7 linked regions of the Sus scrofa genome follow. The protein of the gene in region 7 interacts with the protein of the main gene of each other region in a pairwise test. Links are inferred from orthologs where the notes say so. Each region holds a gene or a part of one and is shown on either strand. Other genes may lie near its edges. The genes, in order: SEPT6, RANBP3, HMMR, BEND3, SSX2IP, EXOSC8 and MORN4.

Region 1 (3,924 bases), on a different chromosome or scaffold from region 7:
AGGTGCACGACCTCAGACTCAGGACAGGCGAGAAGGCCTTTGAGTCACCGGGGGGAAGAGGGTGCCCAGAGGCTTCTGCCACCCTCTCTCTGGCCTTCTTTTCATTCATCTCTTTCTTGTCACTTTGCAGCTTCTCGTTGTGTCCTTTCTTTCTACTCTCTCACGATCCTTTTGCTTTCCCCCACTTTCCTCCTACCTGGAGTTTGCAGGGCTTTCCCAAGAGGCCGAGCAGGAGGGCTGGGCCTCTGGGGCCACATACAGCCCTGCCTACTCTCAGCTCCCCAAACTCAGGGAATCCCAAGGTCCCATGGGAACACCAGGTATAGGGCCTATAGGCCCACAGCTGGCCTCTGTCACTGCCCTGAGGGGACGAGCAGGAGGAGGAAGCCCTCACCCCAGAGCAGCCTGCTACTTACTTTTTCTTCTCTTTGTCTCTTTTCAGCGTCTGTGAGCCTCCAGCCTGGGAGCCCTGGGACTGGAGCAGCTCGGCCGCCGTCTTTCTCTGTTTGAAAGCGTTCACTTCGTCATCCAGGGATTTCTTCTTATCCTCCAGCTTCTTTTTCTCGTCCTGGTGTAGTTTCTTCAGACGGTCAAACTTCTCATGCAGCTGGCAGGGAAGCACAGGGATTTGGGGCGGGGGCCACCCCCATGAGCAGATCCCAGCTGAGCCGAGCCCGGGGTGGGGGGGACAAGCAGGCCTGTGACCTGCAAGACCCTGGGACTTGAGACATTTCCGCCAGAGACAGCTATGACTGCATCAAAGAGCACCATGTTCTGGATAGTTCTCTTGGCATTTTACCTCCTCATTTCTGCTCCTGAATATGGTCAGGGAAATGCACATTCTGCTTAATCAAGCAGTTTATTTATTTAAAAGGGTCCCCATAGGAGTTCCCGCTTTGGTGCAGTGGGTTAAGAATCAGATTGCAGCAGCTCGGGTTGTGCAGGTTGGTCCCCGACCCAACATGGAGGGTTAAAGGATCCAGTGGTGCTGCAGCTGCAACTCAGATTCAACCCCTGACCCGGGAACTTCCATGTGCTAAGGGTGCATATAAATAAAAAAAAAAAGAGTCCCATACAGTAATAACTACATCGATTATAATCTAGAACATCTATCAAGTGCTTACTATAGGCCAGGAACTGACTTTTATAAGCACTTTATATGTATTAACTCATTAATCATCACAACAACCCTATGAGGTAGGTTTTCTGTTATTAGCTGCATTTTATGGGAAACAGAGGTAGGAGAGAAGTTAAGGAATTCGCCCAAGGCCAACCATTCTTTAGATGACCACAGACTGAAATCGCTCAAGGTGAAAGGGGCCCCTGCCTTTCCTGATCCCCTCCAATCACCAAGCATCATCAGGGATTGCAGAGAAAACTCCAGCAATGCCGAAGCTGTGCAAAGAAAACACTTGTCCTTGGACACAGGAGGAGATAAAAGAAGGAGACAGTGGGATGGGGCAGAAACCTCAGCTTTGATCACGGGGAAGCTTAACCAGCTCTCAACAGGGCCAGAGACCCAAACGAGAAGAGCTAGAATATTCTAGCATGCCACTGCGATAAGTGGATCAGGGAGCCAGGGGTATGAATGGTCATAAACTAGAATGGGATAAACTCCCCCGAGTAGAAAGAGCAGAGCAAGCATCATTTCACTTTCTTTTGACGATTTAGGAGGGAATTGAGGGTTTGCATTGCTCTGGGCACATCACGAAGGAGGTCGGGTGTCCCACAGGCATCTGGGACTGTCACAGAGTAAGTGGAGATGGACGGCAGACCTGCCGTGCAAACTGGCTTTTCTTGGCCGCGTGGGGCAGGGGAGGAGTGGAGCTCTGCAGCTCAGCTGCTTTTACCTGGCTTTTGTTCACCGGCCTTTCATTCATCTGTTTATCTTTGAGATGCCCTCCCCTCTCTTCCTCAAAGTACTGGGGGATATTTTTCTTTTGAAAAGTGAAACTGAAATGAAGTCAATACCCTTGCCACGGGCTTTGCCAATAACACTGGAAGAGTCACAGCAGATTAAAATAGGAAGAGACTTGGGAAGTAATTAAGTGCTTCCTTTCTTTGTGGGTTTCGAGGCCCAGCGAGCTGAAGCAGTTGCCAACATGACCAAAACTGCAGCTGACGCCAATTTATCTGGCGGCAGTGGGTGAATCAGTAGTGGGACCTGAGAGGCAAGGTGATGGTTAGAGGGCTATCTGCACTCTATCAGTCATGGCTTAAGTAATGAAAGCTCCAGATAGACCATCAAGCCTCCGTTTAAAAACTCGCCCGAGCTGCACAGATGTTTCTTTAACACTAGAATGAAATGGAACAGAATATTCAAGTGCATGGGGAAATGCACCAGCTGTCACTGGTTTAGGATTCAGCAAGGTACCTGGGACTCCTGGGGACCTCTTTTCCCACGGCCGTCAGAGCACATAGGATGGGGCAGACCAGGCAAGAAATCAATCAACTATCCCTACTGAGCTCCGACCTCCCTGAAAGGGGGAAAACAATCAGCTTGCCCTTGACCTCCAGGGGCTATGTCAGATCTTGACTCTTTTTGGGGCGGAGAGGGGCGCACCCAAGGTATCTGGAAGTTCCCAGGTCAGGATTCGAACCCACCCATGCTGCCGTTGTGACCTACTCCACAGCTGCAGCAACGCTGGCTCCTTGGCCTGCTGCACCGTACGGGCACTTCCAGGTCTTGACTCTCAAGCGGTGGTGGCCGACAAGACCTTTTTGCGGTGATGGAAATGTTCCTATCGGGTAGCCACTAGTTGCATGAGGGTTGAGCATTTGAAATGTGGCCAATGCAACTGGTAAACTGAGTTTTAAATCTTATTTAACTTCAATTCATTTAAATTTAAATGGTCACACAGGGTAGCCGCTACCATATGGGACAGTGCGGCTCTATAGAATTAAATGACAGAGAAGGAAAAAACCTCTGGGCCTTGGGGAATGAGGGATCAAGAAGATCCGGATCTTGCAGCTGCCTCTGTGCCAGCTAAGGCTGGGCTACAGATACTGTGTGCCCCATCCCTGCCCAGAGGCTGCTTAAGACTCCCCCGCTCCTGTCTCGGGGCAGAAATCTCTGTCTTGCCCAAGTTCAGCTGCCTTTTTCTTCCCACCACGCACACAGGCTCACATTTACCTCTTTCTCTGCCTCTTTAAGTTCAGCTTCTTTCTCTTTGACTCTCTGGACGAACATCTGTCTCATCTCTTCTTCCTTTTTCTGGAGCTCTCCTAGGAACTCATTCCTTTTGGCCTCATACGTCTCCTGTAAACTGCACACGTGGTCGGGTTATTTCCCCTGCTTTTGGAATGGCTCCTGTTCGATCAAAACAAGCCCCCCGTGATCCTCGCTGGGTTTCCCCATTCTCCCTCCCTCAATTCTGGGAGACACACAAAAGCAGAACCACAAAGGTGTGGCCACCTGGCTTGGCACACGTGATAGCATGGTCATGGGGTGCTGGGGGAGAGGAATGGGGCAGCCCTGGGAAACCAGAGAGCTGTTTGGAATTGGGAGAGGCTTAGCACATCTGTTTCTATACCCTGATTTAACAGATAAGGAAACAGGCTCAGAGAAGTGAAGTGACCAGCTGAAGATCACACAGCTAGCGGCAGAGCTGGGACCAGATGCTGGGTCTCTTGTCTCATAATCTAGGTCCTTTCACTGCACTATGCTGCCAGGTCCTGGCTCTGAAACGGATCCCATTAGTGAATGATTTCAACAGGCACGTGATGAGATTCCCCCATGTGCTGGACACAGGATCAGGTGACAGCACGCTAGTCACGCAATATCTAGAGCCATGAAGGAACTCACAGTCTAGTGGGAGATGCCGGGGTTAAGTCTCCCTGCCCTCAGTCTGGACTTAGTTGTGAAGAAATAGGAGTTAGCCTGGTGAAGAGGAAGAGGATGTGTGCTCTGAAGAGGGCAGCCTG
Region 2 (3,924 bases), on a different chromosome or scaffold from region 7:
ATTGTGCAGCCATCACCATAATATATTTTAGAATGTTCTTGTCACTCCAAAAAGAGACCCAATCCCTCAAGCAGTCACTCCCCACTTTGTCTTCTGGCAACCGTGAGTCCACTTTCTGTCTCCATGGATTCGCCTGCTCTGGACATTTCATATAAATGAAATCATGCACTGTGGGACCTTTTGGGGTATCTTTCTATTAAGCCTTTACATTTCTTCCAACATGTTTTATAGTTTTCGTTTGTTAAATTTATTCCCAGGTTTTGTTTTTGTTTTTTTTTTTTTTCTCTTTGGTGCTATTGTAAATGGAATTGTTTTCTTAACTTCACTTTTGGATTGTTCACTGCTCGTGTGTGAAAACACACAACTGATGTTTGTGTTTAATCTTGTTCCCTGCAACTGACAAGGGTTTTTTCCTCATGGGTTGGACCTTAGGCACAAAGGCAAGGCTACCTTTGGGGCCCAAAGTGCTGCTGTCCTTGTGCTCTTCTCAGTAGAAACCTGTCCTCTTGGAAACACGGGGCTTTTTGTGCTGGTCCTTCTGGTCAGGGATTTCATTAGACGACCCCTCTCCCCTCCTCCTGCAATGGGCAGGGTCATCACGACACAAGGATTAAAGGATCTGTGTGCCCCAGTGGCTGAGCTGAAAACCATGCCCTGAGCTCCCCAGGAGCCCCTATATTTGTCAGCTCTGTTCCCCGTCAGTCCTGCAGGAAAGCCTGCCTCCTCCTCCTCCTGGGCCTTCCAGTGCTTTCTTCGTGACAAGGTGAAGCTCCCCACACACATCTGGAGAGAGAGCAAGCCTGCTCTCTGCCACCTTTGATCTTTCACCACAGAAAACGCATCTCATCTTCCAGACATCTGCTGGTAGGACAGAGGCTTTTCCTGACTGCGGCCATGTCCTCCTGGAAAGGGAGCCGGGTCCCAGGGACCGTTACTCTGGCTCCCTGACATTCCGCTGGACCCGCAAGGGCAGCACAGTCTCCACCTCTCAGCCCCTGGTAGGCAGCTGGGTAGGTGCCCATGGCTTAACCAGCCCTGCACTCGCCCTCCAGTCTTCTGTTGCCAGCAGTTTTCCCCAGAGCCAGTGCTGCCTGCAGCCCTCTGCCTCCTCCCTGGGCTGCTGTACAGACTAGGGGATTGGTTGGGCTTCTGCTTTGCTGTTTTAAGTCGGAAGTATTTTCCCTAGTTCTCCAGCGCCATGGTCACTGATCCAGACCTGAGTACTCTTCTGCTCCTGTTCCCTCCCAGCTTTGTTGCCCCACCCCAGGCAGGCCTGCTTTTTATCTTTCATCTTATGCTTGTAGAGGAAAAGAGCAGTGGATTCCGGTTGAAGCCGCCAACACTGATCCACGGCCAGGCACCCAGTGCAGGTAGGTGTCCTCCTCTGAGGAGGAGCGTGGAGTGGCTTTCTCGCCACCTTTGCAGCCTCTTTTGTCTGTGCGCTCTGGCCTCTGCTCACTTCCTGACACGGGAGCACTGGGAAGAGCCTGTCAGACCAGGAAGGTTCTCCTGCCTGTGAGCCTGCTGCCCTAAGTAGGCGGCCACAGGGGAGCAGGCGTGACTTGGCGTGGGTCATCTGGGCTCTGTGCCCGGTAGTAGCTCAGTTTGTCAGGCTCTCTCCAGAGTGTTCTGGCCACAGCATGCTGCAACTCTAACCTTGATTAGGGTGTCCAAGATGCAGTGGCTGCTAGTGAGTGGGGCTCAGCGATGGTGCCATTAGGCACATCTGATGCAGCGGGAAGCCCCTGCAGGGCCTGAAGTGTCTTGTGGTCTCTGCCCCATAAGTTTGGCCGAGGGATTTTCTCAACGTGGCATTTTGAGAAGCAGGTGCAAGGGGCCCTGTCTGCACCCCAGGCAGAGTCCTAAACTGACTGGTCAGCTGTGCCTTTGCTGCCTTCCCCTCACCATCTGCACTTGACCCTTGAGGCCTCCACTTGGATAGCTGCCCCTTGGCTCCCTCATAGCATTACTGTGCTCACTGGATTAATTTGAAGACATGATTGGTTGTGTGGGGGTTTCATTTAATCACATATAAAAATAACAAAAGCTAGGATTTTTATGTCGAGCTGTAAAGTAAGTATCTTGGGTTTGTTTTAATGTGCTCCCCTGACATCAAGTGGTTACTGGGGTTAACTTTTCTATAAAGTGCCTGAGAGCCAGTGAGGCGGGGTGGTGTTGCATCTCCCCTTGGCCACATGGTCCAAGGGCCCGAGGCAAGCCAGCCACTCTCTGTTCCCAGGTCTGCCGAGCCAGAAGCCCAAGGAGCAGCAGCGGAGCGTGCTTCGCCCAGCAGTGTTACAAGCTCCTCAGCCAAAGGCACTCTCACAGACCGGTGAGTCACTCGCCCTGGCCCCTGGGCTCCTGGCAGGGAGAACTCTGTTTCACATGGGTGGCTTTGGCCCGCTCTGCTGAATGCACAGGAAGTAAAGAGCACCGGGGACAATCCCTCAAGTCCCCGTGAGCACTGAAGACAGGCAGTTCCACCCACTCCCTGCAGTGCTCAGGGGCATGCTCCGAGCGCACCCTGGCTTCCCGAGAGAGAGCAGCACCTCGCTGAGCTCAGACTCCAGATTTGTCCCTACGTGTTCACAGGCAAAACTCAGCCCTGTGTGTGTGAGAAAGCAGATGGTTGATGAGATGTGCTTTCTCACCTCACCTGCCAACCTGGAGACTGAGCTCTGAAACCATGTTTTCGTTATATCCACACAGGCTGTGGTTTTCCGTTAATCCTTATTTTTTATTTAAATACTAATAAGCTATTCTCTTCCTCTTAATCTTTCTCTCCTGTTCAAGAGCTCTTTATCAGGAGGAGTGCAACATCCTGCCTAGAAAAATAGTTACTGTTTCTGAAGAGTTTTTATTATGTGGGAATTTTTTTTGGTCTGATGCTAAATAGTCAAGGCCAGATTTAAAGTTGTGTGTGTCACATAATTTCAACTATTAAATAGGAAACTGCATAGAATAAGGACTTATTAGTAAAATGTGTTTTGTAAAACTCATAATTCTCCCCCAAATATATTTTCTTTTTTTTTCTTTTTTTCCTCCTAACCGTATCATTTCTAAATACACAGAAAAGCCACATGGTTCTTTGTGGAATAAACAATAAGGAATTCTTGGAGTTCCCATTGTGGCTCAGCAGGTTGAGAACCCGACATAGTGTCTTCAGGATGTGGGTTTGATCCTTGGCCTAGCTCAGTGGGTTATGGATTTGGCCTTGCCGTGAGCTGTAGTGTAGGTTGCACACGTGGCTCGGATCCCGTGTTGGTGTGGCTGTGACTGTGGTATAGGCTGGCAGCTATAGCTCTAATTTGACCCCTAGCCTGGGAACTTCCATGTGCCGTGGGTGTGGCCCTAAAAGGAAAAAAAGGGGGGGGTATGGGAGTCTCACTTTTGTGAGGTTTTAGTTTAGAGTTTCTTTTAACCTAAGAATTTGTGACTTTTAGTCGTGATGCCAGATCATTTCCTTAAAAAAGGAGACATTATACCGTTGGCCAAATGGTAGGAGGGAGCTTGGAAGGTGGTCCAGAGCTACCCTCCGAGGTACCCACTATCTTTTTTCTCCCCACAGTCCCGAGCACCGGCACCAACGGGGTCAGTGTCCCGGCAGACTGCACAGGGGCAGTGACATTGGCCTCACCTGACAACCCCGCCCGGAGAAGTCCATCTGATGAGGTGCCAGCACTTGAGGTCTGTCCGCAGTGGGGCAGGGAGCGCGCACTGCCTGTGTGGCTTCTCAGGGCCTGGCTGAGCCAATGGGCCATCAGCCGCTCTGAGCAGGGTCCGAGCTGGCCTCTGCTAAGGTGTCTGGATTTGCTTAGAGGAATCAATGTGTAACTGCAACTGGCGAAGCTGCCAGACTGCCAGGAACTCCAGGGTTCCCGGAGAAAGGGGCCATAAGCAGGGTTCTGCCTTTGAGGGCCAGAT
Region 3 (3,924 bases), on a different chromosome or scaffold from region 7:
GTCATGGATTCTATTCAACACTTTAGCATTGTGGTAAATGTTATTTTAGTCTTTTTTCCTATGCAACACACACACACTTCTTAGCAAACTAAAATCATATTCTACAACTGGCTTTTATCACATATTTTTCTCATATGATATTATATAAAAGGAGTTCTATGACTTTTACATATTTTATTTATTTTTGTATTAGAGTATAGTTGATTTACAGTGTTGTGTCAATTTCTGCTGTACAGCATAGGGACCTGGTCATATATATACATATATTGATACTTTTTCTCATATTATCATCCATCATGTTCTATCCCAAGAGATTAGGTATAGTTCCCTGTGCTACACAATAGGACCTCATTGCTTATTCATTCTAAATGTAATAGTTTGCACCTATGAACCCCAAACTCCCTGTCCCTCCCACTTCCTCCTCCTTTAAAGTTATATAAGTAAATACCAATGAATAAATATAAGTAAATCACCATTGTGAAAAAATCCTGACATTACAAAAAAGTGAAAATTGCCTTGATTACTCCCCATCTTAGTTTTCCCATATCAGAGATAACTATTAGTTTGGTACGCTATATTTTCTATGTATTCATATACTTTTAAAAACTTAAATGATATACACTGTGTATGTAAAGATCAGTTAAAATATGATAAAAATGGTTGCTGAGGAGTTTTGTGATGCAGTGGGTTAAAGATCTGGCATTGTCATAGCAGTGGTCCAAGCTAATGCAGTGACAACGCCAGATTCTTAACCCACTCTGCCATAAGAGAACTCCTCAAATGTTCGTATCTAACTTTAAGTGAAAAAAAAAATTATTTCCATTTCTCTAATTACTAGTAAGGTAGAGCATTTCTGATGTTTATAGGCTATATGAATTTCTATTTCTAAGAATTATCAATTTCCATCCTATGCCAAATTTTTTTTTTTTTTTTTTTTTTTTTAGGGCCACACCCGCAGCATATGGAGGTTCCCAGGCTAGGGTTCTACTTAGAGCTACAGCTGCCAGCCACGGCCACAGCCACAGCCACACAGGATCAGAGCCGTGTCTGTGACCTAAGTGTGGCACATTTCTGCTGTGCCACAAATGGGAACTCCTGCCCATTTTTCTAACGAACTATCTTTTTTTTCTCACTGATACACAAAATATTTTCTACGTAATTTGAATTTTTAAAAACTGTCAGTTTTGTTTTTTATCTAAGTAGATACTCTTTTAGGAGTTCCCGTCATGGCTCAGTGGTTAACGAATCCGACTAGGAACCATGAGGTTGCGGGTTCGATCCCTGGCCTTGCTCAGTGGGTTAAAGATCTGGCATTGCCGTGAGCTGTGGTGTAGGTTGCAGATGCAGCTCGGATCCTGCGTTGCTGTGGCTCTGGCGTAGGCTGGCAGCTACAGCTCTGATTAGACCCCTAGCCTGGGAACCTCCATATGCTGTGGGAAGTAGCCTTAGAAAAGGCAAAAAGACAAACAAACCAAAACAAAACAAAAACCAATTTCCTTACTGTGCTTCAACTCTTGCTTGACTTTTTTCACAAAATCAATAAAATAGCCCTGTGGTGAATATCAGTTAACATACCACACACGCATGATTATTTCTTCAGGATAAGACTCTAAAAATGGAATTGTTGGAGCAAAGGATACATACAATTTAATGTAAAGTTTTCCCGATACATAGGGAAATCTATGACCTAAAAGAAGCACAAAGGTTTTGTTTTTTTTTTTTTATATTATAGTCAACTACCTTCTCTTGTTGCAGAAGTGATTCAATTTGCAATACTTTTTGTTGTAGTTCTTCATGTTCTTGTCTTTCAAGGTTAGACCTTTCTTTTAAATTTTGTATTTCAGAATTTAGATTTTCATCCCGACATCTGTCCCTATTGATGAGGTCTCCTAGAAAAGGGAAAAAGTTAACAATGCTGTAATTAGATATTAACTTTGAGAAACCCAGATTCTCATAATATTCTACTATGCTACATTTACCATGTTACAGAGATCAAGTATTTCCAAAGGGGGGGGGACTCTGAAATATGTTTCATTACTCTGTGTAATATAGTATATGCTTTATATAATAAAACCCCCAAACCTAATTCCATCTATCTACCAATTTTAAATGGCCACCCAATGAGGAAGTCAAGAACTGCACATTTGTACATATTTCAATCAGGACAAGCAATATATTGAAATAGAGAACAAACAGTATAAAAGACAAAAATTCCCATACATAGAACAAAACTTTTGTTGTTTATATAATCATTTTTGAAAGCTGTTTTAACATAGTAATACCTTAAAAAATATACTGTAGGGGATAAACAGAAAGATCCTACTATATAACATAGGGAACTATATTCAAAACCTATGATAAATCATAATGGAAAAGAATGTGAAGAAGAGGGAGTTCCCGTCATGGCTCAGGATAATGAACCTGACTAATATCCATGAGGACTCGAGTTCGATCCCTGGTATCACTCAATGGGTTAAGGATCCGGCATTGCCAGTGAGCTGAGGTGTAGGTCGCAGATGCAGCTCAGATCTGGTATTGCTGTCGCTGTGGTGTAGGCCTGCAGCTATAGCTCTGATTCGACCCCTACCCTGGGAACTTCCATGAGCCTCGGGTACAGCCTTTAAAAAAAAAAAAAAAAAAAAAAAAGAAAGTATAACTGAATCACTTTGCTGTAGAGCAGAAATTAAAGGAAAAATCAGCTACACTTCAATAAAGCTAAAAAAAGAAAAGTCTTCTTAGAAAAATTATTTGAGGCAGTCCTTATTTAGAGAAAGTGAAACTATAAACAGGAGAATACCTTTTTCTTTTTCAAGCTGTTGGCATTTAGCATTCAGGTCGTCTACTTGTTTGGACAACATAGCAACATTTTCTTCAATAGACTGCTTAAGGCTTAAAATTTCATGATTCTTCTCTTTCAGATTTTCTTCTAAATGGGCAATATCTAGCTTGTATTTTTCCACTTGATCTGACGCACAACTGCATTAAAACAAATTATGTTGAAGAGCATATCTACCTAAGCACAGGGAACATGAACTAAAAAAGTGATGGAAATGATGTATTCATTATACTTCAACAAATAAGGTCCAATTTAAAACTATTCATATTACCTTATCTCTTCAATATATTCTAAGAGTTTTTCTGTTTCAGATTTTTCATCCATTTTTTCTTTCTCTATTGAAACACTAAAAAAATACGATTATTAATACATACAATAATCACACATAAAGCACACTCTGTACTATTTACCATTGTCTCAGACAGGCAGACTCCAGAGTCCAAACTCCTTTTTTTTTTTTTGGTCTTTTGTCTTTTTTAGGGCTGCACCAGCGGCATATGGAGGTTCCCAGGCTAGGGGTCTAATCAGAGCTGTAGACACCGGCCTACGGTGCAGCCACAGCAACCCAGGATCCGAGCCGAATCTGCGACCTACAACCACAGTTCACTGCAACACTGGATCCTTAACCCACTGAGTGAGGCCAGGGATTGAACCCCCAAACTCACGGTTCCTAGTCGGATTCGTTAACCACTGAGCCATGATGGAAAATCCGAGTCCAAACTCTTAACCATTAATATGAGCTCTTTCGAGTTGACAATTTAATACATGTGAATAGAAGACTCATTTTTTTTTTTTCTTATTCTTTGGTTGCCCTATGGCATAGGGAGTTCCTGGGACAGGGATCAGCTCTGAGCCACGGTTGTGAGCTATGCTGCAGCTGCTACAATGCCGAATCCCTAACCCACTGTGACTGGCCAGGGATGGAACCTGAGTCCTAGTGTTCAAGAGATAGACCCGATTCCACTGAGCCACAGTGGGAACTCCAAGTTTTTCTGAGTGAGAAAGCATTCCAAATATACACTTTTCTTTTTTGTTGTATTAGCGGCATGTGGAAGTTCCTGGGCAAGGTACTGAACCTGTGCCACAGC
Region 4 (3,924 bases), on a different chromosome or scaffold from region 7:
TTAGGAAAAGACCTGCTAAGCCTCGCCTTCTCTAGGAATCTACTTAAGGTGTACACTCTGTGAAATGCTGTAGGCTTTCCTTAACAGTCCTTGCTGTCAACAAGCTCCTGCTTTGCCTGTAGAGAAAGCAAAACAAAGAACTCAAAAGCAGCCGAATGGTGAAGACTCCCCTAACCCTAATAGAGAATTCAGACACAGACAAGACTTCCAGTTGAAGACACCTTCTAGAAACTTAAGCCAAAGCTGGGAGAGCTGCAATGAAAGCTTCTCGTGCCCAAAGCATTAGCAGCTGCCCGCGTCGTCCCAGTAGAGAGATCCGGCATCTCATCAGAGGGCTGGAGCCTGAGCAAACCCTCACCTCGGGAATCAGCCGCCGCCGCTTCACGCTCGGAACCGGGTCGGGCGGGCCGTCGCCGCCGCCGCTGCCGCTGGGCTGCTTCCTCTTGCTAGAGTCCTGGAGGGCAGTGAAGACGCCGTCCAGAGGGTGCTTCTCGGAGGACCTGGAATTCACCGAGCAGTCCAGGGCAGCATCTTCGGCTTCTGTCTCCACTTTCACAGTGTTATTTTTCAGAACTGTGGCAGAGAGGAAAGAGGGCTCATCAGCGCCGAGATGAGCAGGGTCTCCAGCGGCAGGCTGTATGCAGGCCGCCCTCTGATACAATCACTCAGCAAACAATGTCTGAGTAACCATCACAAACTGCCTTTCCAACCAAGCAATTTGTATCTGGGCACACTAGTGCTATACAATGAAATCATACTCCAAGATCGTTTTGTTCAAAACAGGTTTTAAAGCCTTTTCCTTGGGGGGGTGGGGGGGGGACATGGAAGAAGAGAAGCAAACACTATTCTTTTAAATGATGCTTTTAAAAAATTCCCTGGGGGTCTAGTGGCTAGGATGCGGGCTCTCACTGCTGCTGCCCTGGGTCCACTCAACCCCTGGTCTGGGAACTGAGATCCCACATCAAGCCAGCTGCATGCTGTGGCCAATAAATAAGTAAATAAATAAATATTAAATAAAAAATAAATTAAAAGTAACTCTAGGAGTTCCTTCATGGCTCAGCAGGTTAAGGATCCAGCATTGTTACTGCTATGGCTCTGGTTATAGCTGTACAGAGGGTTAGAGCCTGGCTGGGGAACTTCAGCATGCTGGCCAAAAAAAAAGAAAGAAAAGAAAGAAAGAAACTCTGTAAAGATACACAAAATAAAATCGGTGTGTGGTGGGGGATGGGACTCAGGAGTGAGAGGAGACTTTTCCTTGACTTTCCATCATACATCTTTTAATATTTTGAACGATGGGACTGTATAGCCTAATAAAAGTATTAAGTTAAAATATTTTTAAAGGGTTTTTTTACCTTCTTCTACATCTTCACTGAATTCAGTTGCGTTCATCTTCTATTCCACTAAATGAAAAGACAAAGACAAAGTCTTGATTTATTGTTTATTTGTAAATTTACCTACCCATGAGAAAAACCCTTGCCCTCCCAACCCTGGCTCTGGGTAAGAGAAGGTTAAACCGATATGGCTCTGCGACATCAAGGAAAACTGCATCCTCTTGTTCGCAGTTGCTCAGATGCGGCCAGGCCTCCTGTATGCCTGCTGGGAGGGCTTTTCCAAGACTATGAGGGCAGAACGCATCCTAAAACATCAACTGAGAGCCACTTCCCAAAAAAGCAAACATATTGGAAAAAATCAAGTCTTATGAAAGACCCCAGTTTGGATGATCTGTTACTCCCTGTCGTGTAAATTCTAGCCATAAAATGAAAAGGCTGACTAAGGGTGGAGCCTGTGGACCCCATGATCTAAGCTGAGGTCTTAGGACTCCAGGTGGTCCAAAAAAGACCTGTGCTGTCTATGACACACACTAGTAGCCACTAGTCACATGTGGCTCCCATGGACTCCGAATGGAGATGTGCTGTAAGATACATGCTGAATTTCAAAGACTCAGCACAGCATCAAGAATGTAAAAATCTCATTAGTAAATTTTTATATTGACTATGTGTTAAAATGATAATACTTCAGATTTACTGGGCTAAACTAAATACTTTATTAAAATTAATTTCACTTCTTAATGTGGCTGCTAGAAAACTTTAATCTACATATGTGGCATATTTTTATTAGATGGTGCTGGTCTAGCCCTTTCTTCAGCAACAATGAGGAGAAAGAGGCACTGTGGGTTCCCAGATCTCCTGAGCGCTACACGATCTGGTCCAAACCACCCTTCTTATTGATGAGGGAATGAGGCAGGAGAGGTGGCCTGTATCAGCTGCAAGGTCTGGGGCAGAGCAGCCCCTCACTCTCACTGCCCCAGTGAAATGGAACAGACACTGTGATTAAAAGCACCGCTACAACTTTGAGATTCCCCTAATTACATAACAGTGTGTCCATAAATAGGATAAAGTATAAAAGAGGTCCTTACTTTGGAAAAGACTAGAGCGTTTATTATTTACATTGAGGAGATGCGGTTCCCACAAAGGTAAAGCTGCTTGCAAATTACTGAGTGCCCATTCTGGTTAAGGGTCAGAGGGAAGCAGGCTAAGGAGTAGCTTTAGGAAATTTCTATAAGGAAGAGAAACGTCATCTACAAAGTTCAATAAACTATTCACCCAGCAGCCGTGGAATGGTATGTGGTCCTGCTTCAGATGGACAGATTTGGGGAGGGCAGGAGAGTATGTCTAGGTAATCTGAGCACATGATAATAACTGCAAAAACCACTAATATAGCAACAATAATATAGTGCCATGATGTATGGCAGGCACTATTCTCAGTTATCACAATAACTTCATGATAGGCACAATTCTTTTCATCCCCGTATTACTAACTTTCCAAGGAAATTTAAGATTTATGTGAAATTGAAATTACAATAAAATGAATCCCTACTTACCAAACTATCTCTTATTTGAAAACCATCCCATGCAGGTGAGATGGAGGGCGAATAAATAGTAAATTCAAGAATCCGAGAACTATTTTACCAATGGTGAATTTTAGCAAAGAGAATTTCCACTGTATTCCAAGGAAATAATCCTCATGTTTAGGTGTCTCTGAGGGGAGGGCGGCACGGGCACGTAGGTGGGCATGAGAACTCTTGTCAGGCAGAAAGTCTGGCCCATGCTGGGCAGAAACTCAGGCCTGATTCCCAGGCCAGCCAAGGGGCCTCTCAAGGAAATGATCTGAGCCTCCAACCCTGTGAGGGCCGGAGCTGCGCCCGCCCTGGGAGACCCTGCCTCCCCTGCACATAACCCATCCCCAACAGGGAGGCTCAGGAGGAATGAGCACTGAGTTGCTGGAGAAGGTATAGGGTACAAAACAAACTACATTCTGGAGAGAAGTGGTGGGAAAGGTAGGAGACAGCGGATGGTTTATTTGGGGAGAAAGGGGATCCACAAAGACTCTGGCTGAACAGAAAGCATGAAAAGGATGAGCGAATGCTACAAGAAAAGCCAGGAGTAGGTGAAGAAACAACCCGCGAGAAAAGCATGCACATGGCCGTCTAACACTCCATTTCCGTTTCCGGAAGCGGCGCGGGACCAGGGCGCAGGCGAGGGGCAGGTGAGCCGAAGCCTAAGTGCTGAACCACCACCATGTGACACTAACGTGGGCAATTTAGCACCTGAATTCTGATCTTCCCCTGACTCTCGCGTCAGAAAATGATGAAGGAGGGGTACACCCCTGAGCCACCTGCGGGTGGGAAGAGAGGCCAGAGAAGGCTGAGCAAGCTCACGGGAAGAGGTGAGAAGTGGGGGTGGCGACGGCGGCAGCTTCGTGGACGTTCAGGACACCACAGTGCATCTCCTTTGGAAGACATTTCCAATTTCATTTATAGGCCAGTTGACAGATGGTAGCTTAGCAGAGAAGTAACCTGGAATGCAGTGTGGTGGGCCCCTTCCCTCCTAGCCAGCAAAGAAGCCACAGCTCCTTGGGAAGCCG
Region 5 (4,449 bases), on a different chromosome or scaffold from region 7:
TATTATTTTCCAAAACACATCAAAACTTCCACCCTGGCTCCTCTATAGTCTATATCACAGTGGTCAGAGTAATTCTTTAAAATTCTAATTCATATCATATCATTTTTCTGCTTTGGTCCCTCTCACTCAGTGTTAAAGAAAAAATTCTTTCCATAACTACACGTTTCTTATGACCTGCCCTCCATCTCAGTACCTCTCTGAACTCACACCCTACAATTCTCTCACTTATTCAGCCATTGCCAGCTCACTGTTCCTCATTCTTCCCAGTCACTTTCCTGCCTCAGGACCTTTGCACTATTCCCTCTGCTTGAATGTTCTTTCCCTTAACATCTGTATTACTTATCTCTCCCCTTCCACATCTAACCAAAGTCACCTTCTTTGTGAGGACCAACCTCACAAATATTATTTAAAATTGGAAAAACACCCCTCCAGCTTTCTAAATCTTTCTTACTTTGCTCTTATAATAATCTTCAACCATAATACTTACTTACTTACTTTGTTAATTTTCTTTTTTGGCCTATTTCCCTTGCCTAGAGTGTCAGCCAAGCAGGGAGAGAGGGAGAGAGCATTTTTCTGATTGTTCACTGATATATATATCTCCAGTGTCTAAAAGAGTGCTTGGTGCTTAGTGATTAGTGGCAGATAATTCTTGGTAAATAAATGAATGTGACTTCTAATGGATGTTTTATATTTCAAATAAATCACCTTGGCAGCCTATATACATGTTCCCATAATGCTGCTCAAAAGTATCACATCGGTAGACACTGACTTTTTGAAAAGAATGCTTTCCTTGAGAAGAAGTTATTCAGAGCCAAATCTGATGAACACATTCTGGAGTTGTGTTAAAATGCCAAACCTGTGTTTTCCAACTAAGTTACTGCATTTGAGTGGATAGGGAAAGGTCAAAAAACAAGATGTGTTTGATGTCTAAGACAGTAAACTGACTGTGAACATAATTTCAAAGAAGAATTCTAAAAATATGCACCAGTAACAAGTCGCAGGAAAAGCACACGTGTATTTTAAAACTCTATATGCTTCTGTGTATGTGTGAATGAATCCCTTCCAAACTTTCTGCAGACTTCCATTCTTGCCTCTATTAGATCAGTCTTTCAAAAATGAAACTCAGACCCTCTCAGCCCCCTCTCCCAATTAAGAATCTTTCATGCCTCTCATTGTGTTTAGCATGAAACTGAACTTCCTATCCACTCATGCATGCATGACCTGGCGCCTATAGCCCTCTTAAAACTCTCACTTTTGTACACAAGTGCCAGCCATGGCAGCTCCCTTTTTTCTCCTTTGGTTCTTTGAACGTGCTATTCAGTCTGCCTGGAAGGCTCTGATTCTTTTTCATCATTCAGATCCCATGTCTATAGGTAAAGCAGCCTTTCCAGGTCTGGTTTTATTGGTTTAATCGTTTGCTTGCTGCTCGTCTGTCTCCTCCCACCAGAATGTAAGCCCCATGAAGGTAGGGACTTTGCTGGTCATGTTTGCCTCTGTAGTCCCAGCCCCTCTGTGCCTGCACTACAGGGTTGCTAACCAAACTGTTAATGGTAAGATAGCTTAATATTCTATTAACTTCTGTAATACATTAATTTTTACAAGTTTATATTTTTTAAAATATTTTTATTTTAAGCTCTGATGTTAATATATGTAATAAGTTAATAATCCAACAACCTTTTTTATTAGGGCCTATATGCTGTAGCAGATAAGATGGACTGAATCGCTGCTACTTAATGGCCTCACTTTCATTAACTCTCTGATGTGGCCAGGACTGTCTCTCCAGGGGTGGCAGGGAGGATAAACAAAATCTTGCTGGAATCTGTACTGGGAATTTTTTATTTTTTATTTATTTATTTTTTTGTCTTTTTGCCTTTTCTCGAGCCGCTCCCGGGCATATGGAGGTTCCCAGGCTAGGGGTCCAGTTGGAGCTGTAGCCACCAGCCTACACCAGAGCCACAGCAACGTGGGATCCAAGCCGCGTCTGTGACCTACATCACAGCTCACGGCAACGCCGGATCCTTAACCCGCTGAGCAAGACCAGGGATCGAACCCGGAACCTCATGGTTCCTAGTCGGATTCGTTAACCACTGCACCACAACGGAACTCCCTGTACTGGGAACTTTCATACCTATGGCCTCATTTTATCCACAAGATCAATTTAACCCTGTTCATAATTAACGGCAAAATAGTACAGGACCGATTCCAAGGACAGCAAAACTTCAGAGACGTTGCTGTGGGCTGGAGTGGTCAGGGATCACTCTGCGGAGGAGAGGGACCTGGATAGGGCCTAGGGGCCATTTTCACTCTGCAAGCCTGCCCGTAGGCAGAGGCCAGATCGCTAGCTCTTTCCTGGTCTGAAAGGAGGTCTTACATTTAGCTGGGCTTGGCTCTTCTAGCTAGCTGAGTGAATCTCTGCATCTTGCTGCATGTCCAAAGACAATTCATTTCTAGCCAGTCCCTTTGGATTTGGGTCAGTAGTAGTTCAGCTTGAAATAACAGTTCTGTGCCATTTATAAAGTGCTGGCTGAGTTTGCAGAAAAAGCAGACCACCTCGACCCAAGTAAAGATTCTCAGAAAAGGAAACCATTCCTCATCATTACCTGCCCTGCCACCCTGCCCTACCTGACCTGCCATGCCGCAACACCGTACACAAACACACAGAACAGCAGACAAAATGCCTGATCATTTTCTAGGTGTTCCACTCTTAGTGCTTTAGATTTTTGTCTGGTCTGCTGCGTGTTTTGCCCTACCTTTTGGGAAAGGTTTTGTTGTTGTTGTTTTGTTTTTGTTTGTCTTGGTTTGTTTTTTTTGAGACGCATGATTTTTACCAGACTCTAGCGCTTTGGTTTCCAACTCTCCATTTGTCCCAAGATTCATTAATTTTAAAATATGTCATGTAAAACTTGATTGTGTGGAAATCACTCCAACAGTTAATAAGGTGCTATCATAGAAACGTGATCACGTACCCAACCAAGGTAGTTCTCAAACCCTGTATTTCCAAGATAAAAGCATACCTCCTTTAAGAAATGCAATGAACACACATTTAAGACACACACACACAGAAACTTACCTTGCTGACTACAGTGGCCTCTAAACCCTTCTCACCCAGCAATTAGACTCAGTCTGCTCTTCTAAGCTTGCAAATTTAAACTCTGAGCATTGAGTAGACAACAAAAGTCCCTCCCAGGAAGTATGGGGACTATAAATGACCCAAACTGTTTTTTTAGTTATACTGAAATAAATTTAAAAACCACGGAGCACAAAGATCCAGCATTCACTTGAATAGTTCTGATATAATTCTGCACCAAAACACGCATTTATTTCACACAGTCTTAGTTTCCCTGCTGTTATTTGAAAATTTCCTCAACAGTTTAATGCATATTTATTGAATGATTTAAGACCCTGCTCACAACAGAAACTCAGAGTTTCCCAGGAAAACAGAATAGTGACAGTCTGACATTGTTGTGAAGAGGTACAGTGCACTAGTGCCCTTGAGTCCCATGGCCTGGGCTGAAATGCCAGATCAGCTACCTGGGTCCATGTAACGTCCCTAAGCTCCCAAGCCCACTTGGGGCTTTCTTCCCCTGGGCATTCTGTTTAGTAAACAATAAAGCTTCAGGGTTTAGGTTGTTTGATGATCCCAACCAAAAACATCCTGGGAGCACATTGAAAAAAGAGCTCTCATGAAGTGACCTAAGGGTGTGATATTTCATTTTATTGGTACAAATATACTCACGTGGCACATGTGGAAACAGTCTGGTGAGCAAAAAAGTCAGTGAAAAATGAAGTATAGGAGATTTTTACAAAGGACTGATTGAATGGAATAATTAAATGGAAGCAAGGAAAATGTGGGACCGTGTCTATGCTTTGAATTATAAATATGCATCTCAGATATTAATGGTTTTCTAAATTATATTTTCCTTCTTTACCAATTTAGGCCAGAAAAATTAAGATACATTGATGAAGACAGTTTTGCACAAAATGACTTACTGTTTTGAAATTTTCAGGCCCTAGCACTATGTCTTCTGGCTAGTACTTGCTTTATATTATAGATATATTCCAGCAAAAGTCATGTCTAAATAATGTATTTAGCAATCAAATCATAATCTAAATGTACTAGTGAAACTAGATGTTTAAAATTATGATAAATCTATGTCCATGGTGAATGACACCTTTGTAAAACAATCTCCTATCATCATCTCCGTTCTATAAGATTATATTTTAATATGTTGGATTTTCTTTAAAAGAGTTTTACCTGTCATTACTTAAAACCCAGACTTTTATGTGAAGAGTTTTTGGGAATATACATTTCAGTACAGAAGGCTGAAGTGTTGCAATAAAAAAAATAGTTCTTATCTTTTTATTCTGCAACTGGCAATTCAATTTTACCCTAGTTATACATTTCCATTTATTTCATTATTTATATTTCACACTAGGCAAATTTCTTTT
Region 6 (4,398 bases), on a different chromosome or scaffold from region 7:
CAAGGCCGGGAGGAAATGCTGGAGAGGTCGGGACAGACGCGGCGGGCGGCAGAGGGTCCGGAGACTAGGGGGCGAAAGAAGACAGGGTGGGCATGGCCCAGTGAACCCAAGTTCTAGGCTCTGGACACGCAGGGAAATAAAGCTCCAAGATAAAAATAAAGAACGTTAGAAAGATGCGTAAAATTCTAGCAGAAGAAATTCTGGGGTCGGAGCTTAGGTGAAGCATGGTTCAAGGGACACGTCGAAGAACCGGCAGTGCGGAGGAGAGGATGCCTGGGGGCCGAGTCTCCACCCGCACCCGCGTCGGTCCCCAACCCCTCTCCTCACCAGAATTAGGGCTGCGGCCGCCAGCCCCGCGCCAAGCACGGCCAACTGCAGCAGGAGCGGAACCATACTCCATGCCCAGAGGCCGCCGCCGCCCGCCCTCTGCAGCGCCTACACACACGCGGAAGTGCAGCCGCGGGCCCCGCCTCCCGCCCGCAGAGAGGCCGCGCCGGTCGGGCGCCCGCCGCCCACAGCGCCGCCGCGCGGCGAGGCGAGGAATACTTAGCGGTGTGAGAGACGCTCAGTCCTTGCGAGGGGCAGGCGCTCACTCAGTTCCACAGTAGCAGGGTTGCCAGATTTAACAAATAAAAGTACAGGATATCCATTTAATTTGAATTTCAGATAAGCAACGAATCGTTTTATTTAACAGCATTATTAAAATACAACTCACATACCATACAATCCACACATTAATTTTTTCAAACTCTGATAATGTAAAACATAAAATTTGGCACTCTATACACTTTACGTGTACACTACAACGACATTAATTGCATTTACAATTTCTTTCAACCATCGTCACTATTTCTAAAACTTTCCCAGTTATTCCCCAGCTTCTGGTAGCAACTAATCAAGTGAAAATTTTTTCTTGTACCCACAGTAACAAACTACTCTTTATCTGACATTCAAATTGAGTTGGATGCCCTGTATTTTATCTGGCAACCCTATCTAAGAGGGAGGTGTAGGTCTTGAACCATGACACAGTCTACAACAAAACTGCTCCTTTGGAGCCCGGTCAGGTTGCTTGGTGCGGATAAGGAGCGAGCAGAAAATTTAGGTGATTCTTCCGTGCTGGAGCAGGGAGGACTTTACCTGGGAGGAGGCAAGCCCAGGGCCCAGTCAAGAAGGGGGCGGGAAAAGGATGCTGAAACACTGGAGTAATGCTCCACACTCAAATACTTGATCCTCTGATGTAAGGTAGGTTTTCTCCTGAGTCTTGAACTACCACAGTTTCTAAACAGACACTGGTCACTTCTCTAATAGCCGATTCGTCAAAACACGCCAAAAGCAAGGAAACCTTGAAGGGCGTCTGGCTAGTGGCGGTCGAAGGGAAGGCATGCAGGAAACAATCCCCGCCCCGCCTGGCTTAGCTCTCCCCCATTGTACTCTGCCTTCCAGATACCAGGCAGCAGAAAGGCACAAACAAACATCAGTGTTGAAAGTGCCGCGGCGGAGCAGCTGCGCGGGCCAGAGGTGAGGCGATACCCAGGCGCAGGCGCAGGCGCAGGCGCAGGCGCAGGCGCGCGGGCGGGAAGATGGCGGCCGGGTTCAAGTGAGTGTGGCTGCACGGCGGGCGGGAGTTCGTATCCTAGCGGATTGCAGCTTCATTTACTCTTTAGGTGGGATTTTTCTCACCGAGAGACCATCCCACCGGACGCCCACTTCCTTCCATCACGGAAGTAGGCGACGGGCGGGAGGACTGGAGGGGGTCGTAGTGAAAGGAACGGGGGCGTCCTCCCCCAGTGAGGCTGTGCTGGAAGGACTGTGTGGCGTTGCAAGCGCTGCAAGCGCTGCAAGCGCTCTGGCTTGGTGTGTAGCGACATGCAGCCCAGGAGACGTTGGGAATCTCCTAAAAAGTGTTCCGCCCGGGCCACATGCCACCCTGCTCTCTCTCTCTCTCAGTCTTCCGTAGTTTACTTTTGAAAGCTTTTGTGCCTTACTCGGAAGGTTTTAGGTGTTTTTAGTGCCACTCTGGAGAAGCCTATACATTTTTCTTTTCAGAGTCTAGTTTTAAGTGGATAAAAGAAATGGAATTCCAAAGAAAACCAATTATATTGAAACAGTTGTCTATTTGTATATAAACTCCAAGTTTATGGCATAGTGAGATAGATCTGTTTTAGAATTAACTTTCTTAAACAGGGTTTAGTGGGGAGTCTAGTATTTCGAAGTAACATGAGTATTACATATATCTTCGACAACTACAAAGTGATAACGAAAACATTTGCTATCTGTGGTTGTTAAAGTCGCAGGTACGGCTCATAATGGTTTACTACCTAGTCATAATTGAAGAATATGCTGAATTTCAGTGGCGGAATGGGTAGTGAAAAATAAATATGTAAATTTTACCATTCACGGAGAATCCCTGCTTCAGAGGAGAGTGATGTTATTTTCACACTTGGATTAATTCTCTTTAAAGATGCCCCAGGGTCTTGGGCTCCAACTTTCTACTTGTTTAAGGCAGAATTAAGGACCGCACTTGAGTGTGATTGCTGTGGCAAGGTATCTGCTTTTTATAATCAGTAACATGTGGCAACATAAACATTAGAACTTAAGAAACTTAGTTACCAATTTTGGAGATTTCTGCTCCATCACCACACTCTTAAGATTTTAGCCAAGTTTCTGAATTCATATTAAGATTCTTTATCTTAATATTTATATGTTTCAGAACTGTGGAACCTCTGGAGTATTACAGGAGATTTTTAGTAAGTAAAGGTGGTTATGTACATGTTATGCCTTTTGATAATGATGTATGCTTTTTTCATAAATACAAATAAGTCATATGTTGTATAGCGAAATTAATGTTAAATGTCAGTTATGCCTCAATTGTTAAAGACAGTTTTCAAGTAATCCAGATTTACTTGAGTTGAAGTTTAATGTGTATTTCCTGGTGCGTGTAAAATACACATGTATGTAATCTACTTTTGTGTATTTATTTAGAAAGAGAACTGCCGACCTGATGGAAGAGAACTTGGTGAATTCAGAACCACAACTGTCAATGTAGGTGAGGATATTTTGAGTTCTAAAATACAGTGTTGAGGTTGCTTCAGTTCTGAAAATAGAATTTTTCTTGTTTTTTTATACTAGTAAATTTTTACTTGTTAAGTTTTAAATGCATCATTCTCTCAACTGGTATGTTCATTTTATTATTTTTAAATTTTTTTTGTCTTTTTGCCTTTTTCTAGGGCCGCTCCTACGGCATATGGAGGTTCCCAGGCTAGGGGTCTATCGGAGCTGTAGCCGCCGGCCTACGCCAGAGCCACAGCTACGCCAGACCGGAGCCGTGTCTGCAACCTACACCACAGCTCACGGCAATGTTGGATCCTTAACCCACTGAGCAAGGCCAGGGATCGAACCCTCAACCTCATGGTTCCTAGTCAGATTCGTTAACCACTGAGCCATGACGGGAACTCCTGGTATGTTCATTTTAAATTTTAAAGTAACTGTAGTGTTTCGCCCCTTCCTTTAAAAAAATCTTGAGATGTGGGAGTTCCCATCATGGTACAGTGGAAATGAATCCGACTAGGAACCATGAGGTTTCGGTTCCACCCTGGCCTCACTCAGTGGGTTAAGGATCCAGTGTTGTCTGAAGCTGTGTGTAGGTCGTAGATGGGCGGCTTGGATCCTGCATTGCTGTGGCTGTGGCGTAGGCCAGTGGCTACAGCTCCGATTGGACCCCCAGCCTGGGAACCTCCATATGCCATGAGTGTGGCCCTAAAAAGACAAAAAAGACAAAAGAAAAAAGAAAAAATTTTAAGATATGGTTTTCTCATATATCTTAAATTTATTAAATCTTCTATTGCAAACATAGAATTTTCTCATTATACCTATATGACATGCCCAAGTTTTAGCCCCTGAGCCATTTAAACAGTATTTCAGACAAATTGTACCACGTTTAAGGGATTACAATGATTTTGTCAAGAGATTTTAATCTGTGTAACAGTCCTGTGACTGAACAATAAATGATTAACTCAAATTCAAGGAATAATTCTTTTTTTTTTTTGTCTTTGCTATTTCGTTGGGCCGCTCCCACGGCATATGGAGGTTCCCAGGCTAGGGGTCGAGTCGGAGCCTTAGCCACCAGCCTATGCCAGAGCCACAGCAACATGGGATCCGAGCCGCGTCTGCAACCTACACCACAGCTCACGGCAACACCGGATCGTTAACCCACTGAGCAAGGGCAGGGACCGAACCCGCAACCTCCTGGTTCCTAGTCGGATTCGTTAACCACTGCTCCAGGACGGGAACTCCATGAATAATTCCTAAAATGGTACTGTTGGCCTTTAAACAACGAGGGGATTAGGGGTGGCAATCCTCACACAGTTGAAAATCCAAGTATAATTTTACAATGGGTAC
Region 7 (4,477 bases):
TTTATGAACCCTGGACGAGTATCCACGAGGATGTGGGTTTGATTCCTGGCCTTGCTCAGTGGGTTAAGGCTCTGGCATGGCTGTGACTGTGAGCTGTGGCCTAGGTCGAAGTTGAGGCTGGGATCATGCGTTGCTGTAGCATAGGCTGGCAGCTACAGCTCCGATTGGATCCCTAGCCTGGGAACTTCCATATGCTGCAGGTGCAGCCCTTAAAAAAGCAAAAAACAAAACAAAACAAAAAACCCTATTCGACAGACTAGGAAATCCCAATTCAGCAAAATAATTTGCTTACTCTCTTTGTAGGCTTGTCTTCTCTTAAAAATTAATTATAGGAGTTCCCGTTGTGGATCAGCAGAAACGAATCCGACTAGGATCCATGGATGTAGGTTTGAACCCTGGCCTCTCTCAGTGAGTCTGGGGTTCAGTGTTGCAGGTGAATTGTGGTGAGGGTCCAGAAGTGGCTCGGATCCGGCATTACTGTGCCTACAGCGTAGGCTGGCAGCTGCAGCTCTGATTCCACCCCTCGCCTGAAAACTTCCATATGCCACCGGTGCAGCTCTAAAAAAACAAAAAAACAAAACAAAACACCACAATTAATTATTGTCTTGAATTTTTCCGTGTGCATGAATATTTTCTTCTCCATAGCTAGGCAGTAAATCCTAGGAGAGCGGTAATCATTTCTATTCCAGCCTGGCAGGACCTGGCATCACGCTGCATTCGCATTGCTCGGTAAGTAAACATATGGATAAACCGGTTGGTGTGCATGGTTATTGGGAGGATTTGCTCCAATCTTGGAGCAAACTGTATTTTAAATACAAAGGATATGAGTAATGACACCACCACCATAAATCCCTATAATGAGTGCAAAAAAAAGTGCCCTGATATCACAGTGCTGGCACAGGGTTGACACTCATTAAACTGTAGTTGCCCCGTCTTGCGCTTTACAGTTTACAAAACTGCACCTCAAAAGCCGATTTGGGGTTCTGTCCTTCAGCTCCGCGGAGGTGCCATTAACAACTGTGCAGATCTAAGTGGGATCCGAGCCGCTGGAGTTGGTCACTGTTACGTCCGACACAGGTCTGGTTTTGTTTGGTTGGGGGTTAACATTTCGGCTAGGGTGCCTCTAGGCAGGCAAGACCTGAGTTCTATGGGTGGATGAGGTGGGACCTTAGGTCAGCCCCACCCTTCTTTAGGATGTTCCGCCAGGGGCTCCCTAGACACTCCGCCCCACACAAAGATGGCGCGGAGCCCGGGCTGGACCAATGGAAAGTGGCGTTGCTCCCAGTTGCCTAGGTAACAGCCAATGGGCCGCGGGAATTGTGCTCGGTGCGGCTGCAGGGGATGGCGGCGTCAAGTCGGGCGGGCACTGGAGGTGGTGGCGGAGAGGCAGGTGGCAGGGGCGAGCCCGGCGGAGCGGAGGTCCGGGCCTCTGGAGCCCCGCGTCGGGGCGAGACGGTCATCCCGGAAGGTTGAGCCCAGGTTGGCTGGCCGCGCGGGTGGGAGGGAGTCAGGGGAATGTGGTCGGGGAGGAAGGCACTGAGGGGCCCATCCTGAGATGACAGCGGCTGTGAAGCGCGGCTCCATCCTGGAGTGGGGGCGGTGGCTCTTCGAGGGTCCCAAACCTGGGCCTCCCGTCTCCACCGCGGGGTCCGAGGCCCGAGAGAGCCCACGGCGTCCAGGATGGTGAGTGGGGTAGGTGGGGGCTATATGAGGAGGGGATGCCATACCTGTGTGAGTGGAAGACCCCGCCCGCACGGGAGTGCTGACCCAGGGTGGAGAGAAGGAGCGGCGCTGGAAGGCAAGAACCGGATGGGAGAAGAAATGGGGAGGTGGACGGGGAATTGTTGCCTTGTTGCAATCTAGGGCTTTGTTGGCTCCGGCCCGCCTCTGTCACACTCTGGTGGAGAGACGTCCCCAACACACGTCGAGGCTTGGAAAATGGGATGCTTCAATCAGGTAGTTGATGGTGCTATCCCTACTGTCTGGCAACTCCAAATTGTTTTGGTACCAGCGGGAGTCATTCGGCTCTGTTAGAACCCGGCCCAGGCATTTTACTTTCTCATGAAATAGAATAGTGTCTATTCTACTGTCCCGGCAGTCCTTCTCATCCAAAGACGTCTGGGGTTTTTTATTTGGTTTGTTTTGTTTTGACCTTTCTGTTGTCAGGATTTTCTTCCCACTTTCTTCCATCAAACTGTCCCACTGTATTCCCGCTGACTTTTATCTAGTGGCCATACATTTGTTTACTTTTCCAGTCCAAGGAAGAATGAGTGAAAGAGACTCACAGACTCATAACAAGGACAGTTATTTTAGGCTCACTTAAAATACTTTAAAAAGAACACTTGACCTCTTGTTCTGGGTTCCTTACAAGCCTGATCTTTGTTCATTAAAGCCTTCAGTTTCTTCTTTTTAGGATTCTAAAAGCCTAAGAGCTTTTATAATTGAAAGAACTTTGACAAGATTGTCATACCCTGAGGAGGGTGGCTTTAAGGGGACACTGTGAAGGTATATGTAGATAGTAGATGCCTCCAAAAAATATTCTTAAATTGAAAATCTTTTCCCCTTTATGTTAGGTTTTTTAATCCTCTGAATTTGGAAACAGGTTACCGGGAATGCATAAATGTTTTTTAACCAGTTTGATTTCTGAAATAAAAAAAAAAAAGGCAAATGGAATGAAAACAAAAGGTCTCTTTACTGTCTTTGAGTTCTATTTGGAAATGTCTGGGGCAGGAGAACATAAAGATGGTATGGATATAGTCTGTTGTGTAGACTGATAGTGTGTTGGCTTACAGGGATAAAATAGTTATTTTCTTTTAGATAAATGTTTGGATTGATCCTTTGCAATCTGTCTATCAAGAGAGAGAAAGGGTGGACATCTGTCTAGAAGCATGAATTGTCTTGGCTTTGTAACTAGATTCCACATGTATATCTGAAGCCTAAACTCCTAGGCCATCTCTTCTCTTTGAAAAAAAAAAGGTGTTTTTTGTTGTTGTTGTTCTTTTTTTTACTGCACCAGCGGCATGCAAAAGTTCCAGGGCTAGGGATCAAACCAGTGCCACAGTAGCCACCTGAACCATGGCAGTGGTGTGTTGCTGGATCCCCAACCCACCGAGCCAGTAGGGAACTCCTTTGAAAAGATTTTTTGAGTGGCTGATAAAAATACTGACTTGCATCCCTTATTCAATTACTGGGTTTTTAAAAAATCTTCATCAGCACAGCTACATATATATATATATATATATATATATATAGTCTTTTTGCCTTTTCTAGGGCCGCTTCTGCAGCATATGGAGGTTCCCAGGCTAGGAGTTGAATTGGAGCTGTAGCCACTGGCCTACACCAGAGCCACAGCAACGTGGGATCCGAGCCGCATCTGCAACCCACACCACAGCTCACAGCAACACCGGATCCTTAACCCACTGAGCAAGGGCAGGGATCGAACCTGCAACCTCATGGTTCCTAGTCGGAGTTGTTAACCACTGCGCCATGAAGGGAACTCCACAGCTATACTTTTTTAAACTAGATTTGTCTTAGTGATCATGGTTACTAATGAAGTTCTTTTTTTGGGTCAGTGGCTACACAGCTATTAATTAGCATGGCTAATTACAAAAGTCATAAATGAAAACCCTGACGCTGTCTCAGGCAATGCCAATATCAATTATTTGGACGCACATTGACGTTTCTAGTCTAATGTGTTCCACCGAGGCCTGAGACCCATGGAGTATACATGTGTTTCCTTTCATTAGCACATCTGATTGTGCTCTTGGGAATGGATATCATTTTGACAAGCAAGTGTTGAAGTTTTTGTTTTGTTTGTTTTGTTTTTTGTCTTTTTTTTTAGGGCCGCACCTGCGGCATATGGAGGTTCCCAGGGAAGGGGTCTATTCAGAGCCGTAGCCACCGGCCTACTCCAGAGCCACAGCAACGCCAGGTCTTAGCTGCATCTTGGACCTACACCACAACTCACGGCAATGCTGGATTCTTAACCCACTGAGGGAGGCCAGGGATTGAATGTGCACCTTCATGGTTCCTAGTTGGATTCATTTCCGCTGCACCACGACAGGAACTCCGCAAGTGTTGAAGTTTGCTGTATTTCCCTGGAACAAAAAGAAATGGGAATTTGCCGATGCGCTTTTGAAAACACATGAGAGGATGGTGGCAGGGTTAGGTTCAGAGATGATGTTCCGGTTACAATTGCTATATAGCCAGTTACTCCACACTCAGCTGCTTAAAACGGCCACGTGATGCTCACAGATTCTTTGGGTCAGGAATTTGGAGAGAACCTCATGAGGATGTTCTCTCTCTGCTCCATGATACTTCAGCTGGGGTACAGGCTCAGCAACTGGGGGCCGGAATCATCCTGAGGCATCCTTCACTCACTCCTGGTGCCTGGGGTAGGATGATTCACAGAGGGGTTTGCCAACGGGGAGCACCAACACATGTGGCTTTTTAAGTGGCTCGGCCTCCTTTGAGCAAG

Evidence for each region.
Region 1: the proteins of MORN4 (region 7) and SEPT6 interact in binary tests that used the Homo sapiens proteins (3 or more experiments, as listed by UniProt). The two-hybrid records come from large-scale screens. The link is inferred for Sus scrofa from reciprocal best matches to the Homo sapiens genes MORN4 and SEPTIN6.
Region 2: the proteins of MORN4 (region 7) and RANBP3 interact in a two-hybrid assay, tested with the Homo sapiens proteins (2 studies listed by BioGRID). The two-hybrid records come from large-scale screens. The link is inferred for Sus scrofa from reciprocal best matches to the Homo sapiens genes MORN4 and RANBP3.
Region 3: the proteins of MORN4 (region 7) and HMMR interact in binary tests that used the Homo sapiens proteins (3 or more experiments, as listed by UniProt). The two-hybrid records come from large-scale screens. The link is inferred for Sus scrofa from reciprocal best matches to the Homo sapiens genes MORN4 and HMMR.
Region 4: the proteins of MORN4 (region 7) and BEND3 interact in binary tests that used the Homo sapiens proteins (3 or more experiments, as listed by UniProt). The two-hybrid records come from large-scale screens. The link is inferred for Sus scrofa from reciprocal best matches to the Homo sapiens genes MORN4 and BEND3.
Region 5: the proteins of MORN4 (region 7) and SSX2IP interact in binary tests that used the Homo sapiens proteins (3 or more experiments, as listed by UniProt). The two-hybrid records come from large-scale screens. The link is inferred for Sus scrofa from reciprocal best matches to the Homo sapiens genes MORN4 and SSX2IP.
Region 6: the proteins of MORN4 (region 7) and EXOSC8 interact in binary tests that used the Homo sapiens proteins (3 or more experiments, as listed by UniProt). The two-hybrid records come from large-scale screens. The link is inferred for Sus scrofa from reciprocal best matches to the Homo sapiens genes MORN4 and EXOSC8.

What each region holds. Positions count from the first base shown.
Region 1 is NC_010461.5:98,043,354-98,047,277, forward strand, and holds part of SEPT6 (septin-6), read right to left. Parts: intron 3,267-3,924; coding exon 3,134-3,266; intron 608-3,133; coding exon 417-607; intron 1-416. UniProt on the Homo sapiens protein: Filament-forming cytoskeletal GTPase. Required for normal organization of the actin cytoskeleton. Involved in cytokinesis. May play a role in HCV RNA replication.
Region 2 is NC_010444.4:73,107,893-73,111,816, forward strand, and holds part of RANBP3 (ran-binding protein 3), read left to right. Parts: intron 1-1,304; coding exon 1,305-1,370; intron 1,371-2,239; coding exon 2,240-2,332; intron 2,333-3,568; coding exon 3,569-3,687; intron 3,688-3,924. UniProt on the Homo sapiens protein: Acts as a cofactor for XPO1/CRM1-mediated nuclear export, perhaps as export complex scaffolding protein. Bound to XPO1/CRM1, stabilizes the XPO1/CRM1-cargo interaction. In the absence of Ran-bound GTP prevents binding of XPO1/CRM1 to the nuclear pore complex.
Region 3 is NC_010458.4:60,311,357-60,315,280, forward strand, and holds part of HMMR (hyaluronan mediated motility receptor), read right to left. Parts: intron 3,183-3,924; coding exon 3,108-3,182; intron 2,977-3,107; coding exon 2,798-2,976; intron 1,890-2,797; coding exon 1,741-1,889; intron 1-1,740. UniProt on the Homo sapiens protein: Receptor for hyaluronic acid (HA). Involved in cell motility. When hyaluronan binds to HMMR, the phosphorylation of a number of proteins, including PTK2/FAK1 occurs.
Region 4 is NC_010443.5:73,203,866-73,207,789, forward strand, and holds part of BEND3 (BEN domain-containing protein 3), read right to left. Parts: intron 1,401-3,924; 5' UTR 1,390-1,400; coding exon 1,353-1,389; intron 574-1,352; coding exon 359-573; intron 1-358. UniProt on the Homo sapiens protein: Transcriptional repressor which associates with the NoRC (nucleolar remodeling complex) complex and plays a key role in repressing rDNA transcription.
Region 5 is NC_010448.4:129,047,828-129,052,276, reverse strand, and holds the start of SSX2IP (afadin- and alpha-actinin-binding protein), read right to left. Parts: upstream 3,092-4,449; 5' UTR 3,071-3,091; intron 1-3,070. UniProt on the Homo sapiens protein: Belongs to an adhesion system, which plays a role in the organization of homotypic, interneuronal and heterotypic cell-cell adherens junctions (AJs).
Region 6 is NC_010453.5:12,815,550-12,819,947, forward strand, and holds the start of EXOSC8 (exosome complex component RRP43), read left to right. Parts: upstream 1-1,531; 5' UTR 1,532-1,580; coding exon 1,581-1,597; intron 1,598-2,710; coding exon 2,711-2,747; intron 2,748-2,982; coding exon 2,983-3,046; intron 3,047-4,398. Other genes in the region: ALG5 (dolichyl-phosphate beta-glucosyltransferase), read right to left, coding at 328-393. UniProt on the Homo sapiens protein: Non-catalytic component of the RNA exosome complex which has 3'->5' exoribonuclease activity and participates in a multitude of cellular RNA processing and degradation events.
Region 7 is NC_010456.5:108,996,458-109,000,934, reverse strand, and holds the start of MORN4 (MORN repeat-containing protein 4), read left to right. Parts: upstream 1-1,324; 5' UTR 1,325-1,479; intron 1,480-1,498; exon of another isoform or gene 1,499-1,683; intron 1,684-1,863; 5' UTR 1,864-1,943; coding exon 1,944-1,956; intron 1,957-4,477. UniProt on the Homo sapiens protein: Plays a role in promoting axonal degeneration following neuronal injury by toxic insult or trauma.